Notamacropus eugenii: one gene and its partners. The protein of the gene in region 4 purifies or fractionates together with the protein of the main gene of each other region. This does not show direct contact. Links are inferred from orthologs where the notes say so. Each region holds a gene or a part of one and is shown on either strand. Other genes may lie near its edges.

Region 1 (7,530 bases), on a different chromosome or scaffold from region 4:
AAAGTAAGTTAAATAAAAAAAGACATTTATTTTTAAGTATAAACGGTCATGTTGATTTTAGTTGGTTTAGTTTAGTTGGTTTTAGTGTTCTCATTTATGAAAATAAAATTATTTTTAAATAATTTCAGTGACTACATTATGCCTTGTAAACAGCAGGTGTTTAATGTCTGTTGAATTTAATTTCAAATTTTGAAAAGCAAGGATCATTTATTTATACAGAAATGACTAGGGAGGAAAATGACAAGGTACCAGAGAACTATTTTAATAGTAAATAAACATTCACTGTCAAAATTTAGATTTTTAAAAAGTAGCAGTTCACAAAATTTAGTTAGATGACATCTATCTTTGATATTATATGAAAGTTTGAAATCTATTATACTACATAAAATAAAGCTATTGGTTCTGGGTTCTCTGGTCCCATCTATTCCAGATTTTTCTAAATAACCTGTCCCTAGGTTTTAAGGCTATCAACATCATTTTTCATGAAATGGAGAATGTACTCATAAAATCAATGCAATGCTACTACTAGAATCCATGATAACGCACGTTTCCAATACTGGTAAAATGATCTTCTGGGGCCTGCCAAACATTTCACATGCAAAAAATGTCAAATACTTAAAGTCACAAGAAAAATACCTCACTTTTCAGCAAAAAATATATGCAAAATCATCACTTTAAGATGAGCCAAATACAATTAACTCCAAGGAAGTATCTTATTTTTGTGGTACTAGGAGATTGTCCTATTAAATACAGCTTTAAACGAATGAGTCACCGAAGAGATTTGGCAACCTTCTCAGGTTTACAAAGTTTTTCATAATAATGGCATTGTCAATGGTATTTCTCAAACTAACAAAAGATCAAGACAAACAAAACACCTTTATCACATGTATAATACTACCTTTATTCCCACAGCAATACGTAAATTTAAACGCACGTTAAATCTAAGTCAACATCTTCCTATTTTCCACTCCTTACTTGAAACTAATATAAAGAAACTGTCAAATTCAAATAGTTCCAAATCTCTCTCTTCTGAGCAATAAACCAGTAAGAATGACATTCTTAAAGTAAATTCATTCAAAAATTCAACACAAGAGCAATCAGGTTACCAGGAACCATACATTTAACACAATTTCTAATACAGTTTTATTTTCAAAGTTTGGGCACAAATTCATATCCTAGATAAAAAAGCTAGAATACCAGTACAAGTTGAAGACTTTGTTTCATTTCCAATCTGTCATTACCATTTCAAAAACTAAACCTCTGGTAGATGTCATCTATCCAATGTTTACGCTCCAAACTGAAAGCTAAAAGCCTTCTTTTTGTTTTGACTCCACAAAAGGACAAAAGCTCAAAATTTTTGATCAACTTTATGGCAAGAAATAGCCATATAAAAAGAAATATTTATATTCTTCTCTTTGATGTTTGGCATATTCTGGAAATGAATCAAACTAAAAAAATGATCATTTCCTATTGAGTCATTATGTAATCACAATTATTACCACTGTTATTCTTTCACCGAATGATTGATTATCAGTTGCTCAGAAAAAAATGCATCTCCACAATCCTGGAGGTACTTTCAAATGGTAGGAAAGAATTTATTTTAAAAAACCGAAGGCAAATTTCTAAAAACCTGAAGTCAGGACATGCTTGAAAACAGATGTCATTACAGAAACCCCAGTGGAAGATGATGAAGGGTTTTACTTACGTTTCAAAACACCGATCCACGTTGTCAGACATCAAAAGCAGCATACATAGCTGTTCAAGGGCTATTAGTTGCATGTCCCTTTCATCTCCCTGCCCCATCTGTAGCCATTCCAGCAATGTATCAGGGTCCACATCTGCCATGGTTTTTAAAAGCCTCTTTGCTTAAATTAAAAAGTAAAGGAAAAAAGGTCCTTAAAATGCCCAAGCCAGATCAGTGAGCATCAAAAACACATCAGCTACAATCAAATTTTTGACGTCTTCTCCTAGGAATTAAAAAAAGATTCATCAGTAAAATACAATAAATGATTCAGTTCTTTAATATTCAGTCTTCCTCTTCATTCCCACTCAGTATTCCTTACTACACTAAATTCAAACCAGTTGTGCCATTGAACATAAGCAGATTAAGTGGCTGCCTAACCAGAAAGCTTCTTTTATCAAAGACAGTAAAACAAGCTTCAGATCCAACAATTGCTATTACCAAGAATTCCAAGCCAAAAAGGCAAAACAACTTTCCTTTTTTCCACTGGCACATTCCAATTTTTTTTCTTTTTTTTTACAAAAGGATCTGCAAAAGATCATCAGATTCAATATCTCCTAATTCCCTCACATTTCAGAAAATTATTTAAGTTGGTGTTTAAGTTTAAAAGCACCTATTCCAAAGGGGTTCCATCAAGCCAGACTATAAAGACCTGAATGAGGATTCAGGGGAAGTTTTCAGGAGTTACAAAAGTACAAGAGAAGTCCAAGCTGGATAGACACAGGTTAAGCCTTGGCATAGGTAAGCCAGGCTTCTCGGGGCAGGGGCACGCCGCAGATAAAGCTCCGGGACAGGGCAGCAAAGCATGTCAATTACAGATGTTTCTGTAACTGACACGACGGGAAGATTTCTCCAGTCCCACGTAGGCTAACGGGGGGCCGCGGGGGGAGGGGGAGCAGGAAACCGACAACATGTGCCCCGGTGCACCCCCGAGCCAGAAGCCAGCCTCAGCCGGACAGCACACAGAGGCTCCCCACCTCCCAACCCCCCGCCTGCCTCAGTCTCCCTCTCTCTCCATCCCACCCCCTCCACAGCCTCTCCTCTCTGTCTCTAGGTGTGTCTCCCTACTTTTAAGTTTAGTCCCAAGTCCTCCGAAATGAGAGGGAATAACTTCGGGAGAGAAAATGGAGAAGCCTCCCACCTACCGCAAAACAAAAAAGGGGGGACGAGGCGGAGGAAGGGCTGGGGGAGGGGGCCCCCCCAGGACCCGAGGGTCGCGGTCTCTCAGGGGACCAGGGGATGAGCCTCTTCTCAAGGGCAAGCGGGCTTCCCCGGAGCCAGGGGCCGAGAGAGAGGGCAGCCGGCTCCGGGTCGCCTCCTGGGTCCTGGGCAAGGGGGAAACAAAGAATCGTGGCGGGGGCTGCCTCCCCGGGGCCCGGGCTAGGGCACCTGATCCCCGAGCTCAGCTTCCCCGCCCACCCCACAGAGCGAGAGCCGCCCCGCTCCGGGCCGACCGGCCCATCTCCGCCGCCGCAGGCCTCCCCCAGTCCCAGCCTGGGCTCCCACTCCCGTCCGCCCCGTACCAGGCCGCGGGCGGAGCCAGGCCCGGCTGCGGTCCTCGAGTTCGCGGGAAGCCGTAGGCCGCGCGGGTCGAGCCGGGCAGGCGCCGCAGGAAAAGCCCCGCCCTTCGTGCTTCTCTTCCTCCGGAGGGGGCTCGGTGACAGCGGAAGCGAGCGGCCGAGCGCGCACCAGCCCCAGGCGGCGGCAGCCCCGGCAGGGTCCGTCCCCCCGCGGACACGCGGCTCCTCGGGCCCCGCTGCTCAGAGGCCCGCGCTGGGGCGGCGGCGGCGACGGCGGCGGGGGGGGCCCGCGTCCATCGTGCTCCGGGAGGGGGCCGAGGAGAAGGGAGGGAGGAGGAGGGAGCGACACCGGGGCCAGGAAACCACCGAGCGAGCGACAGCCGGACTCGCCGAGCCCAGCGGAGGCGGAGCCGCTTCTGAATCACCCGGGCGGCGGCGACTCCCACAGGCGGCCACCTGGGGCGCTGCGGAGACTCGCTCCCGCCCGCACGCTGCCCGCTCCGCCAACCACCGAGCCAACCGGCCCGCGACGCCGTCCTGCGTTGGCCGTCCCCGCCCGCGTGCAATTGTCCCTGCTCTCGCAGGTGCCCCGGTCTCTCCAGGTTTCCTTGGGGGTGGATCCGGCCACAGTCGTCCCCGAACCTCCTACTCTGCGCACGGCTGTGCCCAGGTCCTCTTGTGCCATGAAAGAAACATGTGGGGGGGGAGGGGGAGGTGCCAGGGGCAGGGGCACGGCAGGCGGTTATTGCAGTGAAAAGGAAAGGTGACAACCGTTCAAACAATCAATCACCATTCATGAAGCGCCTGCCACGTGACAGGTGTGCGCATTAATGATCCTGGGGACGTGAAAAGAAACACGACTTTGTGTGCCCCGGGAGCGCCCATCCGGCCCAGATCCAGGCCCCGCAGTCTCCACGCAGGACGGGCCCGAAATCACCCGGGATTGCAGTGGGGGCTTTCTACCCAAAAAGCGCAGACGAGCAGGTGGGCCTGCCGGGCTACCAGGGGGTGCGTGACAGCCTCGACCACGAAGCTGCGGGGTGGGGGGGCCGGGGCCACGTGCGCTGCGCGTGTGGGAACGCCCCTTTGATGGGGCGTGGAAATGAAATAGGCTTTAAGAAAGAAACTGACTAGTAGGCGTGGCCAGCTGCGGATACAAGGTTGCTGGTTACTTCTTAAAAAGGGGGCTTGGCCTGAGGACCAGCTTCGTGCAGAATCCTACGTGTCTGCGTTATATGTGTGTAGTATATATGTGTGTGTGTGTATACGTGTATAGCTATATATAGTATATATGTGTATGTGTGTATATGTGTATAGCTATATGTGTGTGTATAGCTATATATAAGCATATATGTGCATAGCTACATATACATAATATAAATGCATGTACACACATATGGACAAGCCCATTTGTTGTTTTTTTTAAGTTTGGGAATAATTTTTTGTAAGGTTTCTCTGCTACTTCCCTTTTCCTAGCCTTCTCCCTTTCCCTTCTCAGTTCTCTCCACGGGGTTTTTCAGTGTATTTTCCTTCCAAAAAGTGTCTTTTGTGGCTGGCACAATGATTCGTCAGAACCCGTTTTTCTCAGTGGCAGAGGGAAAAGGTTAAAGATAAGCTCCTCAACTTTTCCTCTTTGTGCCCATGTACACACACACAAGGTGCCAAGTCAAGACCAGAAATCTCACCAGACTGGATCTGTAGTGCTCTGTGAGTGAGCAAGCACTTTTCCTCTCCCTCCTAAGGGAGGAAGGAGACCCATGTCCCAACTATGAGACTCAGAGGTGAATTACTTTTTTCAGAAACCTTTTACTTTATTCTCATGAAGACCAGTCACCTACTCAAAAGGAATTTCATGTACTTGAGGGGGCTATGATCCAGAATGTGTAACTATGCCTTCCTTTAATTTAAAGTTTAATTTAAAATGGGGGAATAAAATGTTATCCCAATTAATCCTATGGGATCTTAGCTCTATAAGGGACTTCAGAAGTCACCTAATCCACCCCATTCATTTTGTACAATGAGGAAATTGACCCCTGTGTGGCTGAACTGGGATTCCAAGTGAGAGGCTGCTCAGGTAAGATGATTTCATTTTTTTCTTTGTGAGCCTAGCACCTGTCACAGGTCCTTACACATAGTTGGTACTCATAAATGTCCATTGAGTTTAAAAGCACTAATCTATCTGCTCTCTGCTACGATCTGCGCCTGTTTAATTATTTTTAAATGAGCAGTCACAGACCCTCATTTAGAACACAGCTACACAGGTAACTTTTCCAAATAAGATAGAACATTTCCTTGTCTAATTAGAAGGGCGCCAGGAGACCAAGTGACAAGCATTACACTTGCTGGAAACAACCAGAATACAAGTGGATTCTCATTAGAAGGAGATCAGAATCCACCAGCATTATCAGAAAAGGCTTCATGAAAGAGGCAGACCTTGTAGGATGGGCTGGGATTTGAATAGACAATGGGAAAAACTTGAGGAAAGACATGAAAATGGAAGTTATCATGGGATGTAGCAGGGAGGTTGTGAAGTTCAGGTAAGACAATGGATGGAAGACACTTTGCAAATCTTAAAGAGCTATGTAAATGCTAATTATTGTTATTTTCCTGAACCTACAGTTACCAGGCTTCCAGTCCTGCTGAGTTCAAGAGATGTTTGTAGGGCTATACACATGTGTGCTGGTTAATGTTTAACCAAGGACGAGAGTGAGACATATGCATATACGTGCATATACATACATGCATACACATATATACATACAGTACACACACATGTGTGTATGTATGTGTGTGTATATATATACACACACTTTTAAGTTTAATCTGCATTATTAACACTTTCTTAAGTCTAGGTAATCAATAAAACAATCAGTCAAGCCCTGATGTGTAGCAATTGCTGATTCTGAGGTGGAAATGCTCACACTCAAAATTTAACAATGGGCTTTTCCAGTTATAACTAGCTCCAGCACACCCCTGGATGTTGGGCTTATAGTATGAAGACCAGCCTGATTTGTCTTAGAGAATCCCACGATGTAAGGTAAGAGAGAAACTAGATTAAAAAGGGGCTTAAAAGCCAAACTGAAGTGTTCAAACTTGAAGAGGTAATAGGACAAAGCTTTAGGATCTTAAATAGAGAGGGACGAGATAAAGAAACAATTGAGACACCACCTAATCATCTGTTGAAAAGAATACTGCAATAAGACGATGGGAGATTGGGTGGCAGGTGGTAGAAAGGAGAATTGAATATAGAGGGTGAAGCAGCCAGAAATCAAAAATTACTTATTTCAGGGTTGAATGTAAGAGAATGATGGTGCCATTTAATAGGAAAAAGAAAGAAAATGAGGACAGGAAGTTTATAGAACCATTGCATAAATGCTGGAAGTTTTACTGAAAATTGTAGTCTGTAAACTGGTGATGCTCTTTTGGCCCTCTGGAATCATTCATTTAAGCTCTTGTCTAAATAGCCAAAGCAAGTTTATATATTAACCATCTGGGGAAAATGACTAAACACCACTATTGAAATGAAATGTACCGTTCTATCCAAACAGTCAGAAACAGTTTTTCATACATGATTTACATTAATACTGGCACTGACCTGGAGTCAGGACTCTATATTAGACCCCTCAAGCTCAGGTAATACTCCCTGGGCTAATCAATAAATACATTTTGATTTTTCCTCTAGGATGCCCAGCATTACATGAGAAAGACCCTTTATAAGTTTTCCAGTAAACTTTACATAATAAAGACAGTGACATGTTTCACTTTCGGACTGGTGAACTAAATAGCATACATACTTGTATGGATCTATAATAATGGAAGAGATTAAGAGGAAATATCCATGCATGGATGTTAACTCTAAAAGTTCTAGAATAAAGTGATCTCAAAAACAGATCCAGTAGGGGAAAAAAGTCTTAGTCATCCTGGGACACCTCACAGTAAAGCAGCCTTAAAATTGGTGTGGGGAGAAGGGAGTGCTGTTCAGCAAGGTGAGCATCAGCTGAGAAAGCTCCAATCACCAAAGCACCTGTCAAAGTGTATCTTCTCAAAAGTGTAATTTACTACCGGCAACTTTCTGTGGGGGAAGGGAAAGAACTAAAGAGAAGGGAAGGATAACTTTCACCTCCTTGGTAAATTCAGTGGCAAACATTTGAGTACTGGCTGTATACAAAGCACCTTTCTAGGTGAAAATACAAGTTCAGATAAGTCTCACTGCCATTACATGGAAATACCAAACTTACATTTTCTTTTATTTTATAAATTTTATTTATT
Region 2 (7,551 bases), on a different chromosome or scaffold from region 4:
AATTAAAATTTAATTCCTATTTGATTTTGTTATGTTGATGTTTTAATTGAAAAAAAAAAAAACCAACCCCTATAAACACATTTGGTTTTCTAAGTGAGGATGTGACCCTCAGGGTTCCTTATGAACAGATTAATGGTCTCTGTTTCTGTTTAAGATTGACAGCACAGTAGTGTCATTACTTCCCTAAAATAGTCTGATCAATACTAACACAGATTAATGAATAATTATTTTGTTCACCTATGTAACATCTTTCTCAGTACCACAGTTTTATTTTATCCACACAAGTCCTTCTTCTGATCAAAACACAATCTAAGTATTCCTCTCCCTAGTATATAGAACAGGAGGCTAAGGCTCAATTTCAGAGATTTATCTATGCTCAAACTGTGAGTTAGAGGCCTCTGAGTGGGGATTAAAATTCAGACTCCCTGACAAAGCACACTGGTCTTCCAAGATATTTGGCAATCAGGCATTTTCTGCAAATGCCTAAGGGGAAAAAACTAGAGGTAAGAGGAATTCCATAGACCTGTGAATCTTTAATTAGAAAGAAGCAATAATAATTAGAAATAAACTTTCTAATTGGTAATATCCCCAAATTCCTGGTTTCTATAAACCTGTGTTTAGGAAAATAATCTGTAGGTTTTTCAATCATAAGAAATGTTATAAAACATAAGCTTAGCATTCCAAATCATTTGAGACGTAGGATAGTATATAGATAGTACAGGACTTAGAGTTCAGCAAGTCACAACCTCTGAATTTGTTTCCTCCTCTGTAAAATGGGTAAAATCTATTCCACCACCTTCTAGTACTATCCCGTCAGAGCTGTCATGAAGAAACTAAAGTAAATAACATCACATACATTTGTGTGAATGTGTGAAATGTGTATTTCTTTGAAAATGTTAAAGCAATATATAAATACCAATTATTTTTATTATCTGGAATAATAATCTGATTATTACTCTGATCACTTCAACAGTAGGTACTGATACCATGAGTCATTTAAAATTTCATGTAATCAACTCACTAGTATATTAAATAGCAAATTACTTACTAAACCAACTTAATTAACTTCCTTTCAAGCAAAAAAAAAAAGAATTTATCTTGGTAACTTTTTATGGATCAACTAGCTGTGATTTCTAAGATAGCTTAGTTACCCTATTATTTTCTTTTACAAAGGTTGTCCAATAACTGCCAACTATATATATATATGTACATGTGTGTATATATATATATATATATATGTATATATATATATATATATATATATATATATATATAAAATGGCTATATTATTTGTCACTCTCCCCCACAAATGGCAAAGAACCCAAGCTTTTAAATATCCTCATCAAAATGAAAATCTGTATACCAGAAATCAAAACCACATGTCTTGATCACCTCTGGATAACTACCAATTCCAAACTCCAAAACAAGTAAAGGCAGAGGAAAGGCCAACCCATATAGGACACATATAAAAAGAGGGATTTTCAAAATGCACCCACTGCCAGTGTCACTATAACTCTTTCCCCAGAAGGTGATCCACGTGGACCTGGGTTCTTATGAGATCTAAATTAGACTTTTAAAAGAATGGGGACTGAAGTACAAATAAAACAAATACATGAAACAAAATCATCACTCCCAAGAGATGTGGGGGTAGAAAGTGAGCCATTGCACCAAATTTATTCAGTCTTTTCCTCTACTTCCCTTTCTATTCTAGGAGTCTTGACAAGACATAATGAACCCGAGATAATTTCCGATTTTACCCTAATATCCAACCCCTCCCATACACCCCTCTTCCCTCTACCCCAAAAAAAGGAAGCAAGGTCTGGAAATACAAACAACCTTTAACTAATTCACTCAGAATACCCCAAACCAAGATACATATCAGGAGATGGAGTGGCTGGCAGTAGCCCTACCACATATACATTTATTTCAACACTAGCCTGCTGAATTCACCCCATCTCTGGTTCCAGAGGTCCCCACCCCACACATGCCCCAGTTATATGGGGATGTGTGTGCACGAGTGCACATGTGAGGGAAGATATGCATTTTGTGTAGAAGTAGATGTAGGTGGGTGTGTAAGGGAAGAGGCATGTATGAAGTGGAAGATGTGGGTGTGCATGTGTAAAGGAAGAAAGGTGTGTATGAGGGAATGAGTGTGTGGTAGAGATGTAATGTGTAGGGAGTCAGTTAAGTACCCTGTATAATGGAAGATGAGACTGAGTGTGGGTGTATGTGTTTGTGTATAAGGGGGAGGTAAGTGTGTTTTAAGGGAAGATGGATGTGTAAGGGAAGATAGATAGGTTTTGGTTGGGGGTATGCTGAGTGAAGTCAAGGTATGGGGGCATGTATCTTGGGAAAGACAGATGTGTGTTGGGTAAGTTGAGGGACACAGTTGGGGGACAGTGTGTGATGGGGGTGTTGTGGAAGATAAGGGCACAGATGTGGTGTGTGTTGGGGAAGACAGACGTGTATTGGGGAAGAGGGGCGCACAGCGGGAGGGAGGAGTTGGGGGACCTCTGGTGCGCGAAGCCAGATGTGTGTCATGGAAGAAGCCACAAGTACCCTGAAGAAGAAGAGGGCACAGTAGGGGGTGTATTGTGTGGTGGGGGGGTGTATCGGAGGAAGACAGAACTGTACTGGGGAACGGGGGCATGGTGAGACTGTGTGTTGGACAAGACAGAAATGTCCTGGAGAAAAGGGGGAATTGGGGGGACAGTATTGGGTAAGAGCAGAGTACAGTGGGAGCGCCGGGAAGCGGGGCGCACGGAGGTGGGGGGGGGCACAATGGGCTGTGCGTTGGGCAGCGTGGATGCTACGGTAGCAATGGCACGTGTAGACGTGTGTGAGAGGAGGCGGACACTGCGCGCCCAGGGGGAGCGGGGGAGGAATGTTGCGGGGATGGCGTTGGTGGGGGCAGTGCGGGGGTCCCGGGTGAGGGGGGCCCCGGCGGTTTGGGTGGTGGCTGGGAAGGGCTGGGGGCGCCCAACGTGGGGGTCGGGTCTGAGCCCCGGGCTCAGCTAGGCCGCGGCCGCCCGGCAGCCAGGCCGGGCCCGCCCCGAAGCCCGTCCTTACCTGCTGTTGCTGCTGCTGCCGTCCCCGCGGGTAGGGCTTGGTCGGGCCCTGGTGGCAGCGCCGCGTCCGGATCTTGCCGCCGCCGCCCCCTCCTCCTGCTCCCGAGGCCATGGCGGAGTCTCGGCCTCTTCCCGCTCCGGGGCGGGGAAGGGAGGGAGGGAGGGCGGGGAGGGGCGGGAGAGGCGGCGGCGGCGGCGGCGGCCTCAGCGGCCCCCCCACCCCCCGGCCCCGGCCCAAGAGCCCGCCCGGCCCGCTCGCCGGGGCACGGGCACCAGAGGGAGCGCGAGGCCCGGCCGGCGACGGGGGAGAGAGAGAGAGGGCGCGCGCGGGAGGAGGAGGGAGGAAGAGAAGGGAGGGGGGAGGGAAGAGGAAGAGGAGAAAGAGAAGGGGAGGAGGAGGTGGAGAAGGGGCGGCGGCGCCTGCTCCGGGCCCCGCAGCCCGCCCGCCTGCCCGCCCGCCCGCCTGCGGGCACCCGCCTCTGTGCGTGTCACGGTCTCTATGGAGATCTCCGGGGGGAAGCCGGCGCGCGCGCGGGCTCTCGACTCTCGCGCAGCTCCCGGCGCCGCTAGGGCCTAACGCGACCGCCGGGCGGTGATCCTTTCGCTGTTTCCGCCGCCTCAGCCGCTGCTGCCTGTGCCTCCCGCCCACCCCTCCCCCCCGCGCCTGGCGCCCGCCCCGCCGCCGCCGTCGCCGTCGTCGTAGTCTTCTCAGCCGCCGCCGTCGCTACCGTCGCTGCCGCTTTTGCTCCTATTGCTGCTGCAGCGACCGCCGCCGTCGCGAGCCAAAGTGGCGTCACTCTCTCGCGCCGGGTGCGGCGCGTCATCGATCCGCGCCCGAACCCGAGGGGCGGGGTGAGCGAGAGGAGAAGGGAAAGAAGGTTGAACCGGCCCGCGCCGCGCGTAGGGCTGACGGGAAATAGAGTCCGGCCGAGGAACGCCGAGTTTGGAGGTGGGGGAGGGAAGGAGGCCGGGTTTGTTGGGACAAAATGAGGCGCCAGCTTCTTGCGTGTTCTCCATGGGGCTCGGATTCAGCAGAAGCGCGCACGTGCTTTTTACTGGGAGCGGGGTCCTCCCCCCCTCCCAGACTCTCCCTTTTACTCTCCTTGCCCCCGGGGGACTTTCCCGACACGTTACCGCCGGGGGCCTCCCCACTTCTGAGCGTGGGCCTAAAGGGCGCTGGAAGGAAGCAGCCCCCGCGTCCGTCATCCCCTGCCGGCCTCTGACGTACCTCCGTCTGGTAACCTCCCCTCCTTTGGCCTGGTTCATGAAGTGCAGGGGATGGATGAGATCCGAGTTGGGGGGGCGGGGTTCAGAGTTGTTCGGGACTATTTGGCACTCTAGAGATCCTTCTTCGGAACAGTGTTTTTAAACGCGTAAAATAAGAAGCGTAGGACTGGGAAGGACCAGAAAGTTAAAATAGGTACAAAATGTGTGTTTAAGATTTCGACCCCGGCCTCTTCCAGCTGTGATCACTTTCACCGTCTCCTAAAAGTGGACAGCTTATTTACGGCCCTCCGGGTCGGCGGCCGGAGCGATCCTTACGGGGCTTTAGCTTAAGTCTTAAAGCGTAACCAACGTTGACATTGACAGGCTTCCGGGCTCACCGTTCGTCTGCAGGACCAGGCCAGCCCTAGCAGGATCTGCGTCCCTACCATCAGAGAAACTGATGTTCGCTGTCACGCGTGGAACCGCCCCTCCAAGGCCAGACAGAACTGAAAAGCGAAGAGCTTGTCCTCAGTGCTCTCCCACGCCTTTATCTTCACCTTTCTCGCTGATGTCAGGAGAAATCCAATTTTTGAAGGAGCAAAATTTTTTCTCATTTTTCCGGAAGGCAAAGTAACTTAACTGAGGTTGTACAAAGATTATTTTGTAAGTAGAGCGATGAAGAAATTTTTAAGGAAGGAAGAAACGTTGTGATTTGAAAATCACAGAAGTTGCCTCCTGAACCATTGAATTTCCTTCATTAAAAACATTTCTTAAAGTTATGCAACAAAAAGAAATACCTGGGAGAGGTAATATCTTCAAGCCCTTGCTTTTTCTTTGTCAGTATTAGTGAAGACAAAGGCAAAGAAAGGTAAAATCTGTGGGACAGAGGAGGAAAACAACTTATTGTTTTGAAAACACTTTTCTGTGAAATAGTACCTGCAACATTATGATTCAGATAGGTTTTTGTGAGCTAATCTGGTACTAAATTCTTAGCACCAAACGGCTGATTTACAAAATTTTGGAACACCATTTGTTTGCAAGTTGGGGACTCCCAGCAGTGAGAATTTGTGTTATGAAAAATTATCCTTGATGATAAATACTGTCTTCTAGCTTTCTGTGGAAAATTATCTTCATTTTGGAGATGAAATCCATTTAACTTATAACTAAAGTGAAATCCATTTATTTAACTTTGAGTGTAATGCGGCATAATTAATGATTTGCAGGCAGATGTTCTGTTTCTATTTAGTATCAAAATCACATGACAGTGGAAGGAAATGGAATTGTAAGTGTGTTACTTAAATAGTATCCAGTCAGCTAAATGGCCTTTTGTGGACTGGTCTGGGAATCTGACCATATGACCATTTATGAGAAAATGTTAGAAGTTCCAACTCAGAACTTCAGGCCTTGAGAAACTACCCCCATCTCCTAGTGAGAAGATATAAGTATTTAGATATTGGGAAGATTCAGCCCCAAAATATCTTCCATAGGCTTCCTTAGTATAGTGCAAGCTAAGATGGGGAATGAGCTACTCATGTGGTAGCAGAAAGGCATCCTCCAAAGAGGCTACCATGTATAAGGGATATGATATTATCAGGTTTTTCTTATCTTTTTTTTTTTTTTAATGTCAGGGACTGTCTCTAACCTGTTATAGGAGTCAGAAAATTTTGTCCTATAAAAGGCTAGGTAGTAAATATTTTGGGCTTTGTGGGCTAGTAGGTAAAATTGAGGATATTATGTAGGTACTTGTATAACAAGAGAGAAAACTAATTTCCACAGATTCTTTTGATGAAATTCAAAATGTAATAGTCAGTAAACACTTATTTAAGTTCCTACTGTGTGCAAGGCACAGTGCTAAACCCTAGGGATAAGAGGCAAAAGAGTCCCTACCCTCAGGGTACTCACCCTCTAATGGGGACTATAACAAATTCAAGCAAACTATATATTGGATGATCCCCAGAGGGAAGGCCCAAGAATTAAGAGGATTTGAGAGAAGCTTTATGAAGAAGATGGGATTTTAGATGGGGATTAAAGAAAGTCAGGGAAATCAGGAGGTAGAAATGAGAGGGGAGAGCATTCCAGGCATGGAGGAGAGGGAGAATGCCCAGAACCAAGAGATGATGTGTTCTTTTTTGTGGAACAGCAAGGAGACCAGTGTCACTGGATGGAAGGGTACATATAGGGGAATAAGGTATAAGAAGACTGGAAAGGTAGGAGGGGACTAGGTTATGAAGAGCTTTGAATGCCAAACAAAGCATTTTGTATTTGATCCTGGAAGTAATAGGGAACTATTGAAGATTATTGCTGGAGGGGAGAGGGGGTGGGGGCAGGGGGAAGAGGGGCAGTGATGTGGATGGACCTGTGTTTTAGGAAAATCACTTTGGTGGTTAAAAAATGGATTGCAGTGGGGAAAGACTTGAGGCAAGCAGACCCACCAATAGCCTATTACAAGAGTCCAGGCACAAGGTGATGAGGACCTTTACTAGAATGGTGATGGTGTCAGAGGAGAGAAGGGAGCTCATTAGAGACATGTTCAAAGGTGAAATTGACAGGCCTTGGCAAAGGACTGGATATGGAGGTAGGGAGTGGGGCAAGGATGTTGAGGATGGCATCTAAGTTGGGAGTCTGAAGGCCTGGGAGGATGATTTTGCCCTCTTCATTAATAGGGAAGGTTAGAGGGAGGAGGTTTTAGGGAAAAAAATAAGTTCTGTTTTGGACATGTATAATATAACTTTTTTTTTTGGTAATATGGTTCTACTAATGAGAAGAACGGAATTCCTTTTTTGGGGGGTGAGGGGGATAACATTTAGTTTAATTTGAGTTCATAGTATTCCCTATCATCAGAATTGCTTGCAAATGCTGATTCATAATCAGATTTTATTTATTTCATCTTGAAAATGTCTTTCTACCCTAAATACTGATATTAATCCACAAACATATGATTTTGATGGAGTATATTCATCAGTTGAAAGGCATTTATAGAATTTCACTAGATTCTTCGTTAGATAAAGAACCTTATTATGTCATTACATTACAGAGTACTCACTTCAGTTGAAGGTTAGGTGGAAGCTCCTCAGTTACTCAGTTAAATGGATGTTAAAATATGGAAATTTCTTTCACAATTGCATTGAAGTCTGAAAAGCACTGCTGGAACTGTAGTCTGAGGCAAGGAAAATATAACTGCTACAAACTTGTGTGAGAATAGAGATCTCACTTCTTGTTTTTACTTTTGACAGCACAGGAAATATTTTTAAAAGTTGACATTACTTGTGATTCAAAC
Region 3 (8,118 bases), about 240 Mb from region 4:
CTGTGAGAGGGAACAGAGTAACTGGTGAGATGAGAAGGAAGAATGAAGATGGGGTAAGGCACAACAGGAAAGGATATATAGATAGAATGGAAGAAAGGGAACAAGGAGAATATTACAGATGGCAAGAAAGAGGAGAGAAAACGAAATCAAAATCAAGCTACAAGAAACTGCATGAGGCAAGGGAAATTCCTTGAAAGACACAGCTCAAAAGTGAGGGAAGGGGCCTTCAGCTCAGATGAAAACTCTGAGAAGGGAGGACACACTCCAAGACACAAGTAAAAGGGAGAAGGTCAAACATCCCCCAGCGGAGGCTCAGCAAGAATTCCATGTGAACGCACACAGGACGATGCTTTGTCCACCCAAGCGTTACTCACCTCCTGTACCTCTAGCCGAGCAGCCAGATCCCTTCGTTCTTCTTGCAACTGTAACCGCTCTTCTTGCAATGACTGAACTAGGCCCTTCTGAGTATGCAGAAGTGCTTCCAGCTCCTGGACCTGAGCCCTCAACTTCCCCAGCTCCAGCTGGTCTTGCTTAGCTTGGGCCCGAGTCTCCGTCAGATCCCCAATCAACACCTTGTTCTCAGCCTCCAGAGTTTTGGCTTGTTGATCAGCTTGCCCAAACTGGCTCCTGAGTTCCTGGTTCTCCCTGGTTAGAACCTCAGTCTGTACCTGGCAGGCACTGAACTCCTTCCGTAAGTCACACAGTTGTCCCTTCACATCCCAGGCTGGACGCTTGCTAGATCCTTTCCTTGTTTTTGTAGGGGACATTCTTGATACTAGGTATGGGAAAGAGTAGCAAGGCGAATGAAAACTCTAGCTCCTTTCTCTTCTCCTTTCAGTGAGCAACAAACACCATTAACTCCCATTCCCTCCTTTTTATCTCACAGGGGAGACAGAAATGGGCTAATGGTTTTTGTAGAGCACTCAGTACAACTGCTATTCCCTCTGTAAGTGGTACATTGCCTAACCTGAGGGATTAGATTAGCCACTTACCAGGTTTTGGTGCAGAGACAGTAGAGACTGCAGAGACTGGCTTCCTATTCTTCACATCTGTACAAAGATAAGAGATAATAATTTCAATAACATCAATTAATTTGGAGCTGATAGTGACCGACTCTTTCATTTTACAGAGCAAACTATGGTCCAGAGGTTTACCTTGCCAAAGTTCACCTAAGACATAAGCTGCAGAGCTGAGATCAAGCTCAGATTCACAGGCAGCCAAATCCCTCCATCATTCTTCCCTTTCCAACTTGTGCTTGTTTCCCTGAGATCTAGCTACTGATGCCTACTCACCTGTGGTGGCCGTTGTAGTATGCCAAGGTCCTGTTTTTAGGGGAGCCTTCTGGGCTGCGAGGAGATAAGGAAGAAGGTGATAGGGAGCATCCTCAGGGCAGTTTCTATGCAGGAAAGAATATAAGAGCCAGCCTAGGGCTGACCTCTTATTCTGAAGAGATAATATACCCGTTCCTCTCAGACATGTTCATCTCCTATTGCACGTATAACCTAAGACAGAATTACTCTGGTCATGTAATTACATGAAATAGGAAAGATGAAACTCTGGATTCTTTTGTCATCTGTCAAACCTACAGGTATTTTATTTACCTGCTTCCTGTTTTTTTGCCCTGGGCATAGTGGCCACAGTGGAGACCCTGGGACGAGAGATGGCAATAGTTACTGCTGTTCCAGGACCTCGAATCCGCTTCTGAGGAAAGAGAAAGTAAAGTTTTCATGTACAACCTATATCAAATTGTTTACTGTACCATCTCAGAAAGGTGGAGGTGGGAGAGAGAGAGAAAACTTGGAACTCAAAATTAAAAAAAGAAAAGAATGTTGAATATTGTCTTTAACTGTGGAAAAAATAAATATATATATAAAGGATAGTTTTAGAGAACTTTTTCCCACCCACCCCCCTTGGGGCTCCCCACCCTTCTCAACTAATCCAGTTCTCTCTTCTCCCTGCCCAGGCTCTCACATATCTACAGTCCAACTCACCTTCTCCGGCTCAGGGGCATTCTCTTTATCTAGTCTTCTCTTTGTACCACGGCCTAGCATAGGCAATTGAGAAGATGAGGCCTTGTCCGGGGGCATCTTCAATTCCATGTTCCCCTTTTCCATCAGTGATAACTTCTATAAGAAAAAGGAAGCCACTCAGACCTCCTGGTTTCCCTGCCACTCCCACATTTCCTGACCGCCTCACATTTCTATTAACTACCTCCCTTTTGTTATCAGAAGCAAATATCTATTGAAAGCTTACTACACACACAGAACAACGTACTGGGTAACCTGCACATAAAAGTTATGAGAATCAGTTTTTCAAGAGCTTATGATTTACTTAAGGAATTGGGACAGATATATTAATGTATATTCTGGTATTCTTTCCTTCTTTATATTCTGTTCTCTCTAGATATCATAACACATACCTTCTCATCCTATATTAAATGAATAGTATAGACAAGAAGTGCTATAAGAGTTCAGAAGAATTATCAAACTTAAGGGTGCTTAAGAAAGGCCTAATGAAGGAAATAGGACTTGGGTTGGGCCTTGGAGGGCATTCCAGGTAAGGGGCAAATGTAGGAAGTAAAAAAAAAAAAAACCAAACCATTATACAGAAGAAATGAGTAAACCAGGTTGTTTAGAGCTGAGATACAGGGTAATAGCTTTAAATGAGATAGTCAAAGTATGATAAAAGCAGAATCTCCAGAGTTGGAAAATACTCGAGATCACATAGGCCAATCTAATACATGAACAGGAATTCCCTCTACAACATCCTTAGCAAGTGGTCCTCCACTCAACCATTTCAAGTGATGGGATGGATGATGAAAAACTACCTCCTTGGGCAGCCTGTTTTTGGGGTTTTTTTGGGGGTTTTTTTTTTTAATGTTTTAAGGGTTAGGAAAGTTTTTCCTTACACTAAGCCAAAATGAACTTTCTTTTATAATGTTTACCTACCACTTATTTCTGTCCTCTGGTGTTTAAAAAAAAAAAGAGTAATTCCTCTTCTGTGTAATAGTCCTTCACAAAGCAATAAGGGGTTATTAAATTAAGTCAGCTCTCATGTCTACCCCAAAGTCTTTTCCTCTTCAGGTTATACATTCCTGTTTCTTTCAACTAATCATTACATGGAATGGCCTCCAATATTTTCACCATCCTGGTTGCCCCATTCTGGGCAAACTTGAATTTGTCAATGCCCCTAAATGTAGCACTCCTAACTAGACACAAAACTCCAAACATAAGGCAGAATATATATGTGGAAGTAATGCTTAAAAGTGCAAAGGGAGATTCATGCTTGATATAAGACAAAACTTGGAGTAGCTAGGTGGTGCAGTTAGAGCACCAGTGCAGGAGTCAGGAGGACCTGAGTTCAAATCTCACCTCAGACACTTGACACTCACTAGCTGTGTGACTTTGGGCAAGTCACTTAACCCCAACTGCCTCATCCTGGGTCATCTCGAGTCATCCTGATGAATATCTGGTCACTGGATTCAGATGGCTCTGGAGGAGAAGTGAGGCTGGTGATCTGCACAGCCCTCCCTCACTCAAAACAAAGTCAAGTGCAAGTCATGTCATCATTTCTCTGATGGCATGGTCTTCTTCGGCAATGAAGGACGAACACACACATAAGACAAAACTTACTAACAATTTTAACTAAAATAGGCTGCCTTGGGTGGTAGATTTCCCATCATTATGGTTCTTGGAGCAAGGGCTTGATAGTAACAATTCCTGTTTAGGTATGGATTGGACAATATGGCCTCTGAGATCCCTTCCAATTAATTCACTTGTTCTTAATGTTGTACATATATTGATGCAGTCTAAATTCACATTAGTCTTTTTCTCCTGCAGTATTACATAGTAAATGCCATTGAACTGGCAGGCTGCTAAAATGCCTAGGCAGGTAGGATCCAGATCATAAGGAAGGCATTGAATATAAGGTTGAAGAGTTTGGGGTTTTATTCCACAGACAAAGGGAATCTACTAGAGGTTTTTGAGTAGAGGCCAATACTTACCAAAGAATATGCTAGGGAGGTTGTTAACAGTATCATGGATTAGAGGGAGTGAAGACTGTTAGGAACCAAGTATAATAATCTGGGTATAAAATGAATGGGCTAGACCTAGGGTTGTTAACAGTAGGAATGGAGAAGGGGAGGGAAACAGGCATATTCATTAAGCTCCTACTATACACTGAGACATGGTGCTAATTGATTTACACGTATCTCATTTGATTGGCTTTCTTCCTCCAAGGTCCCTTTCTGGATTCAGTCCTCATAGAAAAAGGACTATTGGTTGGGAAAAAGGTCACAGGGCAAGATGAATACATCACCCTATTACCTCAGAACAATGAAAAGAAAGATTAAGACCTTCTCAAAAATATTAACATAATCAACTTCTCATTCTTTGGGCAAAGTATAACTGAAACAATTTGGTAATCCATATATAAATGGTTTCTCCAAACCACCCAGCTTGCTTCAGTCCACAGCAGTGTGCTCAATGAAGGTTTCAATACAGCTCACATTCAAAGTGAATAGTAACAGGTTTATTTTGCATGTATATATAAAGTACTTTGTAGATGATAAAGTCTGCATTAGAAATGATACCGTTATAAAGGAGTTAGAGTTATTCTTCCAGCTAGAAATTCAGGACACAGTGACCCCACAATTCCCATTATCTTAAGTTGAAAAAGGATCTTTAAGAAACCCTGCATGGAGTCTTTCTCCTTTACATTTCAGAGGGTCTCTTCCAAACAGTATTTGTTGCTTGCTAAGGATATGATTGAAAGCTAGGATGAGAACAAGATTTTTAGAAGTCTAGAAACCATATTATACGAGTTCCAGTTGAAGTAGTTTGATGTAGTTTACCTGAAGAAAAGAAAGTGGGGAGATATGATAGTTTTCAAATATATGAAAAGTAGATTAGAGAAAAAAATTCTCTGCAAAAATTATGAGGCAGAATACAGTTTAAATAGGGAACAACTGAAGCTGTCCAACAATGAAATATGCTGTCACAGTTAAAACAGACTATGGACAATATTAGGGATCTCTCCAACGGACACCTGTGTTTCAATCGTACCACCTCATCTTCTCTACAACATAAATTAATCCCATGGGCTGAAACCGAGCTGTATTGTACTTAGGACACTTTGGTCTGGTAAAAGGGAAATTTGTGCTAGTATCATATATATGCTCATATGTTAACAGCCCCTCTCCCCCATTCTAAATCAGAGGGAAGGGAGCTAGCTCTACATTAGGAGCCAGAATACCTGGGTTCATGTCCTCACCCGGATATTTGTCGCTTGTAAGACCTCAGGCAAGTCACTTAACCACTATTTTCTCATTCATAAAATGAGAGCCTAGAGAAATTCTGAGGTCACTTCCAATTCTACATATGGGATCCAGTTTGTCAGGTGAGGTGCCCTCTTAAAGACCACAAAGGAGAACCTTTGACCTAGAACTGGAAAGGATCCTAGAGGCCACCTAGTTCAATTGCTTCAACAGAAGACAACAGGGAGTCCCAGAGGGTAAGTCACTGGCCTGACGTCATACTGGCTCACTGGCCGTCGGCAGAAAAGCAAGCCCCGGATCCACAAGGGAAGTCAACAAGCATTTATTAAGCGCCTGCTGCAAGCCGGCACCCGGGCATACCCTCCAGCCCCTTTTTAAATTAAAAACAAAAGTCATTCCTCCGATTCCAGTTTCAGCTCTTCTCCCAAAGGACAAGTGGAATGTTAGGGGACAGGAAAAGGCCGATCTTCCCTCACTACCAAGGACCCCGAGCGAGAGTACGTGTGCACCCTCACACACACGTCACGGGGGAGGCAATTTCTGCAGAGACCCGCCTGAGACACCTGGGGCCTGGCCGGCGGGGGAGGAGGGGAGAAGAAGGGGATGGGGATTTGGCCGGTCCCTGGCCAGGGCAGGCCTACGGCGAGGGCTCCCACGAGCCCCCGTGGACAAGCCTCCCCCCCAGTCCCGAGCCCGGGAGTCGCGAGTCGCGGGCCCATTCACTCACCAGCTGCTCCTATTCCGGTTCCGTCAAGACCCAAGGCGGGAGAAGGGAAGGTGCCGTAGGGGAGAGGGGGCGGGGCGAGGAGGATTCCCCCTCCTACCACCCAACAATACACATTCTAGGACCCCCAATTATATCTCCAAACATCCCAGCCTCCCGCACAATCCGCAGGCGTCGGCGCCACCTAACCCTTTTAAATTCAAATCCGCGACTCTCCAGCCAACCAAACCCCACCAGCAGCTTGTGGCCAATCACAGATCCCTCCTCTACCCCTGAACCAATCGCAACGTCTCTCCGGCCATCTCTCCCCGCCCCGCCTCGGTGGAGAACACGCCCCCTCGGCTTTCCCGGGGCGCTGGGTAGAGGGCCCTTCTATTTTCCGTTAGGAACCGCCCCTCCTCATTCTCTCTCCCTCTAGCTGCTCCGACTTCTCCCTCCCCCACTGCCGGCATCCGCGGGCTACCAAGCGCATGCGCAGACCTAAGAAGGGTCGGCTGGCCGGCCGGTGACGGGAGTAAAGTGTCGGCCCTATAAAGGTGGCCCACCCATCCCACCCCGCCTCGTGGGGCGGGGCATGACCGCGCGCTCCTCTGAGTGGAAACAATGAAAAGCATTAGCTCTAAGGTCCGAGTTAAGCCGATCTAGGTTTCCCAAGCACGGGGAGCGCCTGGTACTGACGCGTATCGTGTGCCCCCCGTCGTCAGAGGGCTGCCTACGGGTGCCGAGAGGGGAGTGACTTGCCCAAGGTCATAGGCCGGGGAGGCAGAACTTGACCTCCGCCCCATCAGAACCGGGAGGTAGGGTCTCTAGGCGCGGCCCTAACGGGATCTCTCTAAAACCAACGCGTTAGCGTCGGTGACGGGTGGGCGTGGTGACGTCACTGGCTCCTAGGCTGTTAGAGCCCTTCCGGTAGTTGTCTCACCCCGAGCCTTTCATTTCCTTTTTTTCCCCCAACATTCATTTTTAAAACAAGATTCTGAGTTCCGGATTTTTCTCCCTCCCCCTGCCCTTCTCCTTCCCTCCTCCTCTTCCGGCAAGCCAGCAGACGTGGGTTATCCGTGTGCAGCCGTGTTAAACGTGTTTTCTGTATGCCGCTTTAGGCAGGCTGTGAAAGAAGAGAGCGGACCGAAGGGAAAACAGCGGGAGAACGCCCCGTCCCGCGGCGATCTGCCTCCGTCTGGGCGTGGGCAGCGCGTCACCGCCCTTCCTCTTCATCCTCATCGTCGTTAACACGGGGCTAAGGGCTTTGCAGTCACCTCATTTTTATCCTCACAGCACCCCGGGAGGCAGGGGCGACCGTCATCACCCCCATTGTACAGATGAGGAAACTGAGGCAGGGTCACACGGGCGGTAAGGGGGCCATCCTGACTCCAGGCCCAGGCCCCCGCCACCTAGCTGCTGCCTTTTAGGAAGAAAGCCAAGACCCACAGAGAGTAGGTATTTAATGACTAATTACTGAATTTGCCCAACTGTCGCAGCCAGTTAGTGGCTGGAGGGCTACCGCTGGGTACAGTGGTGCTTTTTCTCAGGGTACTCATGTGCTGGGGAAAAAATACACATTCAAGTTTAATGTGCATTATTAACATTTACTTCATCACTTTCATAAGTCTAGACAATCAATAAAACAAATCAAATCCTAATTTGTAGACTTTGCTGATTTCTGGGGTTCAAATGCTCATCCTGAGAGTTTAACAATAGGCTGTCCCCATCCACCACTATGAGCTGGCTCCAGTACGCTCCTGGCTTTCCGGGATAACTGAGTCTGAAAATGTCATGTAGTCATTCATCTACTGGCTTATCCCTTCACAGCCCTGGCCCACTCCCAGCCCCCTACTCAAGTCACAACTTCCACCCTGATTCTTTGGGACAAGGGTCTAACTGCCTTTGAATCTCAGCTCAAGTCTACCCTGTCCCCAGTCAAACTGTCCTCTGTACTGCCATGGTCATGCTCATCTCAGATGTTTTAGTTACCTCTCTTAGTTGAATAAACAATACTAAAGTCCATGTTTCCTGACTTCCTTTCTGTATTGAGAATGCATTTTTGCTTATTGTTAATATAATTTTGCTTCTTAATGAGATTAAAGAGCTGCCCCACCCCTTAATGGGCCTACCCATTAAG
Region 4 (7,563 bases):
CAGAATATGGAACAGTTACCATGAACTCAGAGGAAATTATGACCACCATTTAAAAAATTTATGGATGGCATGAAGAAACAGGATACGGGACAGGTAATAAGAATTATTTTGGTCTGAAAAATCTTACATGCCCAAAGTTTGTACCCCGCCCCAAGAAGGGCAATGGAAATATTAGAGTAATATGATTTTTCAAAGTATCTTACAGATCTGTTTGACAACATTCTACTAGAGGTAGAGAGTAGTTAAGTGGCTATAATCTCCCAACTCCTGCCCACCCTACCCAAAAGAAAATAGGGCAAAAAGTAGAGAGATGAAACACTTTCCCACAGATGTTGGGAAAGGGACTATCAAAAAAACAAACTAAAAAAACAAAGATGAGGTTAATACAGGGTGACAAAAGGATTACACTATCCCTCAACAGCCAGTTACTGAAACCATTTTCTGTCATATCAAGCCTGCTACTTCAAGAAGTAAGAATGTCTAGGTTTCAGGAACAATCATAGGCCAATTCATACAGGGTATAAGTCTTTTCTGAAGATTTACAGATTATATAAACAAACTCCAAAGAATAAACATCATATGTGCAAAATCTGCTGGAATTAAGAAACGGAGAATTTACCTGGTTATTTCGGTTTTCTTGCAGAGGAGAAGTAGCATCATCAGGAAAAGTGCTGACATTTCTTCTTTTCAGCATCTGGTCATCTTTTTTAGCTTTCCTCAGTTCTACGTTCACTTCAATACGCCGGCGCCTCATTTCCTTGAGGAAAATAAAATCAAAGTGTTTTTGGTTTTTTATCCACAATCATCTTCTGAATTATCTAAGACAAATTTAGGTTGCCTTTAAATTCATTTCAGCATCCAAGAACTCTCCTTTCTCCTCCACCCAAAAAAATTATCTAGAAAATAACAAGATTAAGGCTACTACTCACTGTGCTGTCTTTTCCTTTGTTCTTAAATCTATTAAGCCGGGCAGCTGGTGAATTAGCATTTTCATTGGTGGACATGGTTGTGTTCAACACTGGGAGAAAAGCAAAGAGGGAACTGAAACAAAAAAGAAATTTCGATGCCTTATAAGAAATCCAACAGGATTTTATTGTATTAAACAGTAATTATTACTTCAACCAAAGGAAAAAACCAGCACTAACATAGCAATATGTCAACTACCAAAGTATCATATTATATATTATAAATATTTCTACATGCTTGCTTCATTTTTCTACTTGTGGTTACCAGACAAAGAATGTACCATTCAATAGGAACCACAGCATAGCCAGCAAACTATATGCATTAAAACTATGAAGTACTCCAGTTCACAATAAATCTATATTAAGCACAGCTTAGCTCAATGCCTACCTGGTACACAGTAACCTCTTAATAAATGCTTGTTAACTGACAGCTAAGTGATAAGCTGCCAGCAATTAAACCCTAGCCAGTCTCTCCATTAAATGTCCCTTACACCAAAATATTATTCTATTTCATTTAAGTAGTCATAACAGTACAATTTTAGTAAATTTTTGGACGTTTCCCCAAACAAATGACATTTCAAATTTAATTTTTAAAACAATTCAAGAATTTAAAGTTGGCAAGCATCAATTTGCTCCTACCTAGCTATGACATGTCCTTTAGAGAAAGACAATATTTAAGGTTTAACATTAAGGGTCCTCTCGCAGCTTAATTGCAAACACAAAGGTGTAAGCAGTTACAATCAAGACCTTCCAGATGCGATCTATCAATTACTTCATGACGTTACTGATTAAGCACTCACTATGTGCCAGGCAGTACGCTAAGTGCTACGGATATTAAAAAGGCAAAAATACAATTTCGGTCCTCAAGGAGTGCAGGTCTTAATGGGAAGACGACAACAACCAGCTGCCTGTTCAGCATCGATAATGATAGATCATTTTTTTAGATGGAAGGCAGGAAAAATCTCTTTAAGGTGGGATTGATTAGAAGCCGAGAAAACGAAGAGAGTGAGGGGCTCCTTTCCTGAGCTGGGGGCGAGGCCGGTATTTAGTAAGAGCCCACTAAATACAGCACGGATTACAGTCAGGGCCCAGGGTGGCGGGCCCAAGGTGTGGCTTAGTTGTCACTGAACCTCAGGAACCAACACAGACTTCACGCCCTGGGCAGGCCGCAAGGTTAGTACTTCCGACCCTTCCCTAAACCAGACGCTGGGTGGGAGAAAGAGAATATTCAGGAGCCCTCCCCTCCCCCACCTTCCCTCCGCACCCCGCTCCCAGAGACCAGCTGGGCCCTAAGCGCTGTCGTCGGAGAAGCTCGGGGGAGGCGACACCGCTAGACACAAAGGCCTGGGCATCCCGGTTGTCGGGGGAGGGGGAGGGGGAGGGCGGCGGGCGGCGGCCCATCTAGCAGATAGGCCCGGAGATCCGAGGAAAAGAACACGTCACGCTTGGGCCGAGGGTCGTGGGAAGCCCACTCCTCTGCAGCGTGCCCCCCTTCCCCAAATAAACTCGGCTACACACGCACGCGCGCTCTCGCACACTCTCACTCCGCAGCCCAGGCGGGGGGAGCGGTTGAAGTAACAGAGGCCGATCTCGGACCTCCGCTGCCACCGGCCGCCCTCGGCAGAGTGACCCAGAGGAGCCGGGTTCGGGAACGCTGCCGCTGCCACCGCGGGGACGCGCCCGAGCGCGGCCCGAGGCCCAGGGCCCCAACCAGGCCCTCCCCCACGAGGCCTGGAGAGCAACAGGCGATTCTCCCACACCCCTCCCTCCCGACAGCCTCGGAGTCAACCGTTTCCGGCCGGCCTAGTCTCCGCTCTCGACGGGCGAGAGAAAAGAACTCACGTTGTAGGAGGTCGCCGGGCCCCGTAGGGGAAGCGAGAGGAGGTCGCAGCTGCGTCACGGTTAGACTTCCAGCAACCACCGCAGCTCAGCCCCGAAAGCCGTGTGGCGCGTGAGGCCCTCCGGCGCGATTTAAATTTCCCGGCGGTCCGGAGCTCCCATTGGCTCATTCGAGCCCAAGCAACGCGACCATTGGTGGATTTGAAAAACACGAGGCTGGGTGGTCCCAAGATGGAGCCTGCAGAGGGAGTAGTCGAGCGAGAGGGCGGGGGAGTGGAGAAGGGAAGAGTTCTCGTGAGATGAGGGGAGAGCAAAACCTGCGTATACATCCCAGAAGTCTTTGCAGCCATGCTTTGGTAGAGGGATGTTTTAATGTCTCCAAGTGCTGGGATGGCGGAGGGCCTTCATTCTTAATCAGTGAGATCTGTGCACACTCTTCGATTTTGGGGAGCTCTGCGATTTATCGTCAAGTCCATGGCAAAGATTAAGTTGTCGCTGTGTGCCCGGACCAGTGCTAAACGTGCAAAAAATATTTTAAAATAGTTTCTATGGGCAGCTTGGACAAATGATTGTTTTCCACGTGCTTGCTTCAGGGAGGTCTCGTCTCTTAGATTGTAGGAGATTTCGAATTTTTTCGTTTTAGAAAATCTTCAATTTGTATTTTTTGGGGGGCAGCTACAATAGATGCTGTGTTGTAGGAGGCCTCTAACTTTTTGATCTGAAGGACCTTAATTTCCCAAGGACCCCCAAAACTTTTTGCTGTAATATTTATGGATATTTATTGTATTAGAAATTAAATTTTTAAGTGTTTAGTTCATTTGGAAATGTGAACATTAAGAATTTTTTATATGAAAAATAACTTTTCCCATACATTTTCTGAGAAGACGGGCCGTTCTACATAATGTTGCAAATCTCTTTAATGTCTGGCTTAATTGAAGACAGCTGGATTCTCATATCTGCTTTTGTCTTCAGATTGTTGCATTATATTGATTTGTTTGAAGTTCATACTACATAAATATGTAGTTGGAAAAGGGAGGGGCATTTTAATAGCCAAATAAATGTTTTAGTATTATTATTATTAGTAGTATAGTAGTATTAGTATTATTATGAAAACAGTTTTGACTTTAAGGGACTCTTTAAGGAACTTGGACTCAAAGACCACACTTTGAAAAGTGCTGTTGCCTGATCTTCCAAAGCCAAAACGGAATGAGGCAATTAACTTTCAAATAAAAATCTTTCATTTGAGATTGTAAAGAAAATCCCGACAGTCATAGGTATTGCCACAGTAACTAGGACGTTGTCCAACAGAGAGGTGACTTGAATATCTCTGCGGCATTTAACACTCACCCTCTCCTGGATAGTGACTCCACTATGGCATTTTCCTGGTATTACTCTCTCTCTCCCACCTCAGTACAAAGCCTCCAGAGGTCATCTAGTCCAAAACAATTCTTAGTTCTTAATTTTGATAGTGGATAGGGAACCTGCCTAGAAGCCAGGAAGACCTACCGGCTGTGTGACAAGTAAACCTCTCAGTGCTCTAAGTACCTTTAAGGCTCTAACTTGTTATATTGGTCGGCCTTTCCTCACCCAGGAGTTGGCTACATTAATGTGCCTATATAGCACAAATTAAATCCAAACCAAATGCTATTAATATGACTGTAGTGGAACTCAATTACAATTTTAACTCATTGTTTCTTAATTTTTGAACCAATAAAGGTGTTGAAATTACCACTAAGAGACCACAAGTTCTCACACAGCTGTTATAAAAGTAAAGGGGAAAGCCTTGGATCTTAAGTCAAGCTCTGCCATTTGCCACCTCTGAAAACTTGAAAATGTCACAACTATTTTCAAATTTCATTGAATCATTTGGATTTTTACCAAATCATTGTTGCCAAACCATTTTGGAGCATACTTATACCCAAGATTTTAGACCTATTGCATAAAGAAGGGCAAAGAAACAAGCATTTATTAAGTGCTGGGCTACTTTGTAAGTGCTCTAAAAATATCTCATTTGATGCTCACGATAACTGTGCAAGGTAGGTGCTATTATCCCCATTTTATAGTTGAGGAAAATGAGGCAGATGATATTGGATAGTTTTACAGTCTTTTGATTTTAAATTCTAGTATTTATTTGTTATCTCATGGAGTCACCGGTGTCTATGATCAAATCTAATTTTCAAGGATTCTGTTACTGAGTAAGATTTTATACTTCTTGTATTAAACTGTTCTACTAAGTTCTTTTCTCTAGAGTTCCCATTCCTTTTCCTATTCTTAACTCTAAAGCTCTTATTTATATGATCATTTTTAAACTTTTGCTTTAGAATCACTGTTTGACAAAAACTGCTAGTAAAACTAGCTAGCAATATACAGACAATGGGGTATAGAAATCTATCTTGCACTATACAATAAAGTAGAAGGGGATGGGGGCTGTTTTAGAAGGGAGGGCAGAGTAGGGGAAGGGATAATCAGAATGCACACCATCTTGGGGTGGCGGGAAAGGGAGGGAACTCAAAATCTTATGGAAGTGAATGTTAAAACTAAAAAATAATTAAAAAACCAAAACTAGATAGCAGTATGATGGAAATTAGGTTTGGATCAGTACCACATACCATATGCCAAGATAACACTCCAAATGATGATTACATGATCTAAATGTAACATTTGGTCAAATCATGAATTAGAGAAGAAAGAAATTACCTTTCAGATCTATGCAGAGTGGAAGAGTTCATGACTAAACAAGCAATAGAAAAGATCACACAAGATAAAATGGACAGTTTTGGTGCAAACAAAATTAATATAGTTAAAATTACAAGAGAAATGTGATTGAGAAAGAAACTTTGCAGCATATTTCTCTGATAAAAGTCTCAAATCCTAGCTAGATGAGGAATTTATACAAATCTATAAAACTAAGAGCCATGTCTCAAGAAAAATGGTCAAAAGATGAATAGGCAATTTTAAAAGAAAGAAATCCAAGGTACCAACAACCATATGAAAAAATGCTCTATATCACTAAAATTATAGAAATGCTAATTTAAGAAACTGAGGTTTCACTTCATACCCAGTAGACTGGCAAAGATGAGAAAAAAGGAAAATGACAAATGGAGGCTTCCAGAAAAATAGGCATACTAATGCTCGTAGATGTGTGAACTAGTCCAGCCATTCTAGAAAGCAATTTGGAACTATGCCCCAAAAGTTATTAACTGTGTATACCCCTTGACCCAGCTATACCACTACTAGGCCAATACCTCAAAGAGGAAAAGAACCTATATGTACAAAAATATTTATAGGAGCTCTTTTCAAAGTAGTGGTTCCTATTGGAAACTTAGGGGCTGTCTTGTTGGGGAATGGGTAAACAAACTGTGATATAGGAAGGTAGTAGAAGATTACTATGCCATAATAAATAATAAAAGAAAATTTCAAGGAAACTAGGGAGACCTCTATGAAGTAATACAAAGTGGGCAGACCTAAGAGAATGATTTATATGACAGAAATATTGTAGAGAAAAACAACTTTGAAAGACCTTAGAATTCTAATTGACGCAAAAATAAACCTGGAGTCCAGTCAATTAATGATAAAAGGATACAACAGAGTGGTTATGAACTTAAAATGCACAGGAAAACATACATTTTGGGGGCATGGTCAATGTGGGAATTTGTTTTGCTGAATTGTTAATTCTTATTATTAGGGTTTTTGTTTGTTTAATGAAAGGTAGTGATCATTAGTGAGAAGGATAGATTATAAATCCGTGTAAAAATGATTTGGAGAGAAAGTTCTTGGTTCATTTATTTCAGAAATTCCAGAAGAGCACGTGGCAAATCTTTGATTTGCTTTGAAGTCTTTGCATGTAGACCATGTGGAATTATTCATTTTGGGGTTTATATCTTAAACATCTCCTGGCTCCATCATAATTTTCTATCAGTATTTATTCATTTTTCCAGTCTTATTTCCTAAATTGTGACTTAGTGCAAGGGTCAAGTTCTGCAAACTCCCATATACTTAGATGTCATGTTCTGGCTCTGTTTGGTCCTAGCTGTTTTCTTTGGTTTCTTCTGCTGACTTCTACTTTTATCTGTTCTCAGAGTACCAGTAGGATTCAATGGTCTCAGAACTCTGGTTGGCTGCCCCTCCTCAGGCCACTGGGTGATTTTGTCTCCCTTAAGAATCCCATGATCAAGGTTCTTGGTTATCTCTGTCCCGATACTTGACACCTTGCTTCATTTTTCCTGTACTCTGCCACCCAAGATGTACCTCTATCACTTTCTCCATTTCTTCTGGTAATATGATGTGTAGTCTTGAATGCAACACAGATGACAATTAGATGACTTCTGTTCTTAACTAAGGGGTAACTGAATATTTCTGAAAAAAAAATCCAAATTTAAAACCAATGAAATCCATTTCTACCATGTTCTCTAATTTTACTTTTGTTGTCCACAGCCCCATAGGCCCAAATTTCTTATGTTTTTGTATCCCCAGAACTTAATGCCTAGCACATAGCAAGAGTTTAATAAAATGTTTGTTGTTTGATTGATTGCTTTTCAATGATTTTGCTATTTGACCTGCAGTCTCCACTCCAGCCCCTGCCATTTCATCCATACAAACCTTACCTATCTGCCCAGCCCTCCCTCACTCAAAAAACAGTCAAGTGCAAGTCATGTCATTATTTCTCTGATGGCGTGGTCTTCTTCGGCAACAAAGGACGAACACACACACCTGTCTGACCATTTCTTTTCAATTTTCTCTGCTTTATCATCATCTATCC

The links.
Region 1: the proteins of KPNA2 (region 4) and HECTD1 purify together in Homo sapiens (affinity purification with mass spectrometry; 3 studies listed by BioGRID, with this or other methods). This does not show direct contact. The link is inferred for Notamacropus eugenii from reciprocal best matches to the Homo sapiens genes KPNA2 and HECTD1.
Region 2: the proteins of KPNA2 (region 4) and NUP153 purify together in Homo sapiens (co-immunoprecipitation; 4 studies listed by BioGRID and IntAct, counting the BioPlex papers as one, with this or other methods). This does not show direct contact. The link is inferred for Notamacropus eugenii from reciprocal best matches to the Homo sapiens genes KPNA2 and NUP153.
Region 3: the proteins of KPNA2 (region 4) and KIFC1 purify together in Homo sapiens (co-immunoprecipitation; 4 studies listed by BioGRID and IntAct, with this or other methods). This does not show direct contact. The link is inferred for Notamacropus eugenii from reciprocal best matches to the Homo sapiens genes KPNA2 and KIFC1.

What each region holds. Positions count from the first base shown.
Region 1 is NC_092878.1:47,883,559-47,891,088, forward strand, and holds the start of HECTD1 (E3 ubiquitin-protein ligase HECTD1), read right to left. Parts: upstream 3,403-7,530; 5' UTR 3,265-3,402; intron 1,968-3,264; 5' UTR 1,846-1,967; coding exon 1,706-1,845; intron 1-1,705. UniProt on the Homo sapiens protein: E3 ubiquitin-protein ligase which accepts ubiquitin from an E2 ubiquitin-conjugating enzyme in the form of a thioester and then directly transfers the ubiquitin to targeted substrates.
Region 2 is NC_092875.1:190,369,323-190,376,873, forward strand, and holds the start of NUP153 (nuclear pore complex protein Nup153), read right to left. Parts: upstream 3,250-7,551; 5' UTR 3,181-3,249; coding exon 3,070-3,180; intron 1-3,069. UniProt on the Homo sapiens protein: Component of the nuclear pore complex (NPC), a complex required for the trafficking across the nuclear envelope. Functions as a scaffolding element in the nuclear phase of the NPC essential for normal nucleocytoplasmic transport of proteins and mRNAs.
Region 3 is NC_092873.1:89,399,038-89,407,155, reverse strand, and holds the start of KIFC1 (kinesin-like protein KIFC1), read right to left. Parts: upstream 3,481-8,118; 5' UTR 3,437-3,480; coding exon 3,392-3,436; intron 2,127-3,391; coding exon 1,992-2,126; intron 1,702-1,991; coding exon 1,602-1,701; intron 1,347-1,601; coding exon 1,293-1,346; intron 1,050-1,292; coding exon 993-1,049; intron 776-992; coding exon 375-775; intron 1-374. UniProt on the Homo sapiens protein: Minus end-directed microtubule-dependent motor required for bipolar spindle formation. May contribute to movement of early endocytic vesicles. Regulates cilium formation and structure.
Region 4 is NC_092873.1:327,758,777-327,766,339, forward strand, and holds the start of KPNA2 (importin subunit alpha-1), read right to left. Parts: upstream 3,078-7,563; 5' UTR 2,975-3,077; coding exon 2,808-2,974; intron 2,806-2,807; exon of another isoform or gene 2,488-2,805; intron 2,139-2,487; exon of another isoform or gene 1,824-2,138; intron 1,042-1,823; coding exon 930-1,041; intron 758-929; coding exon 620-757; intron 1-619.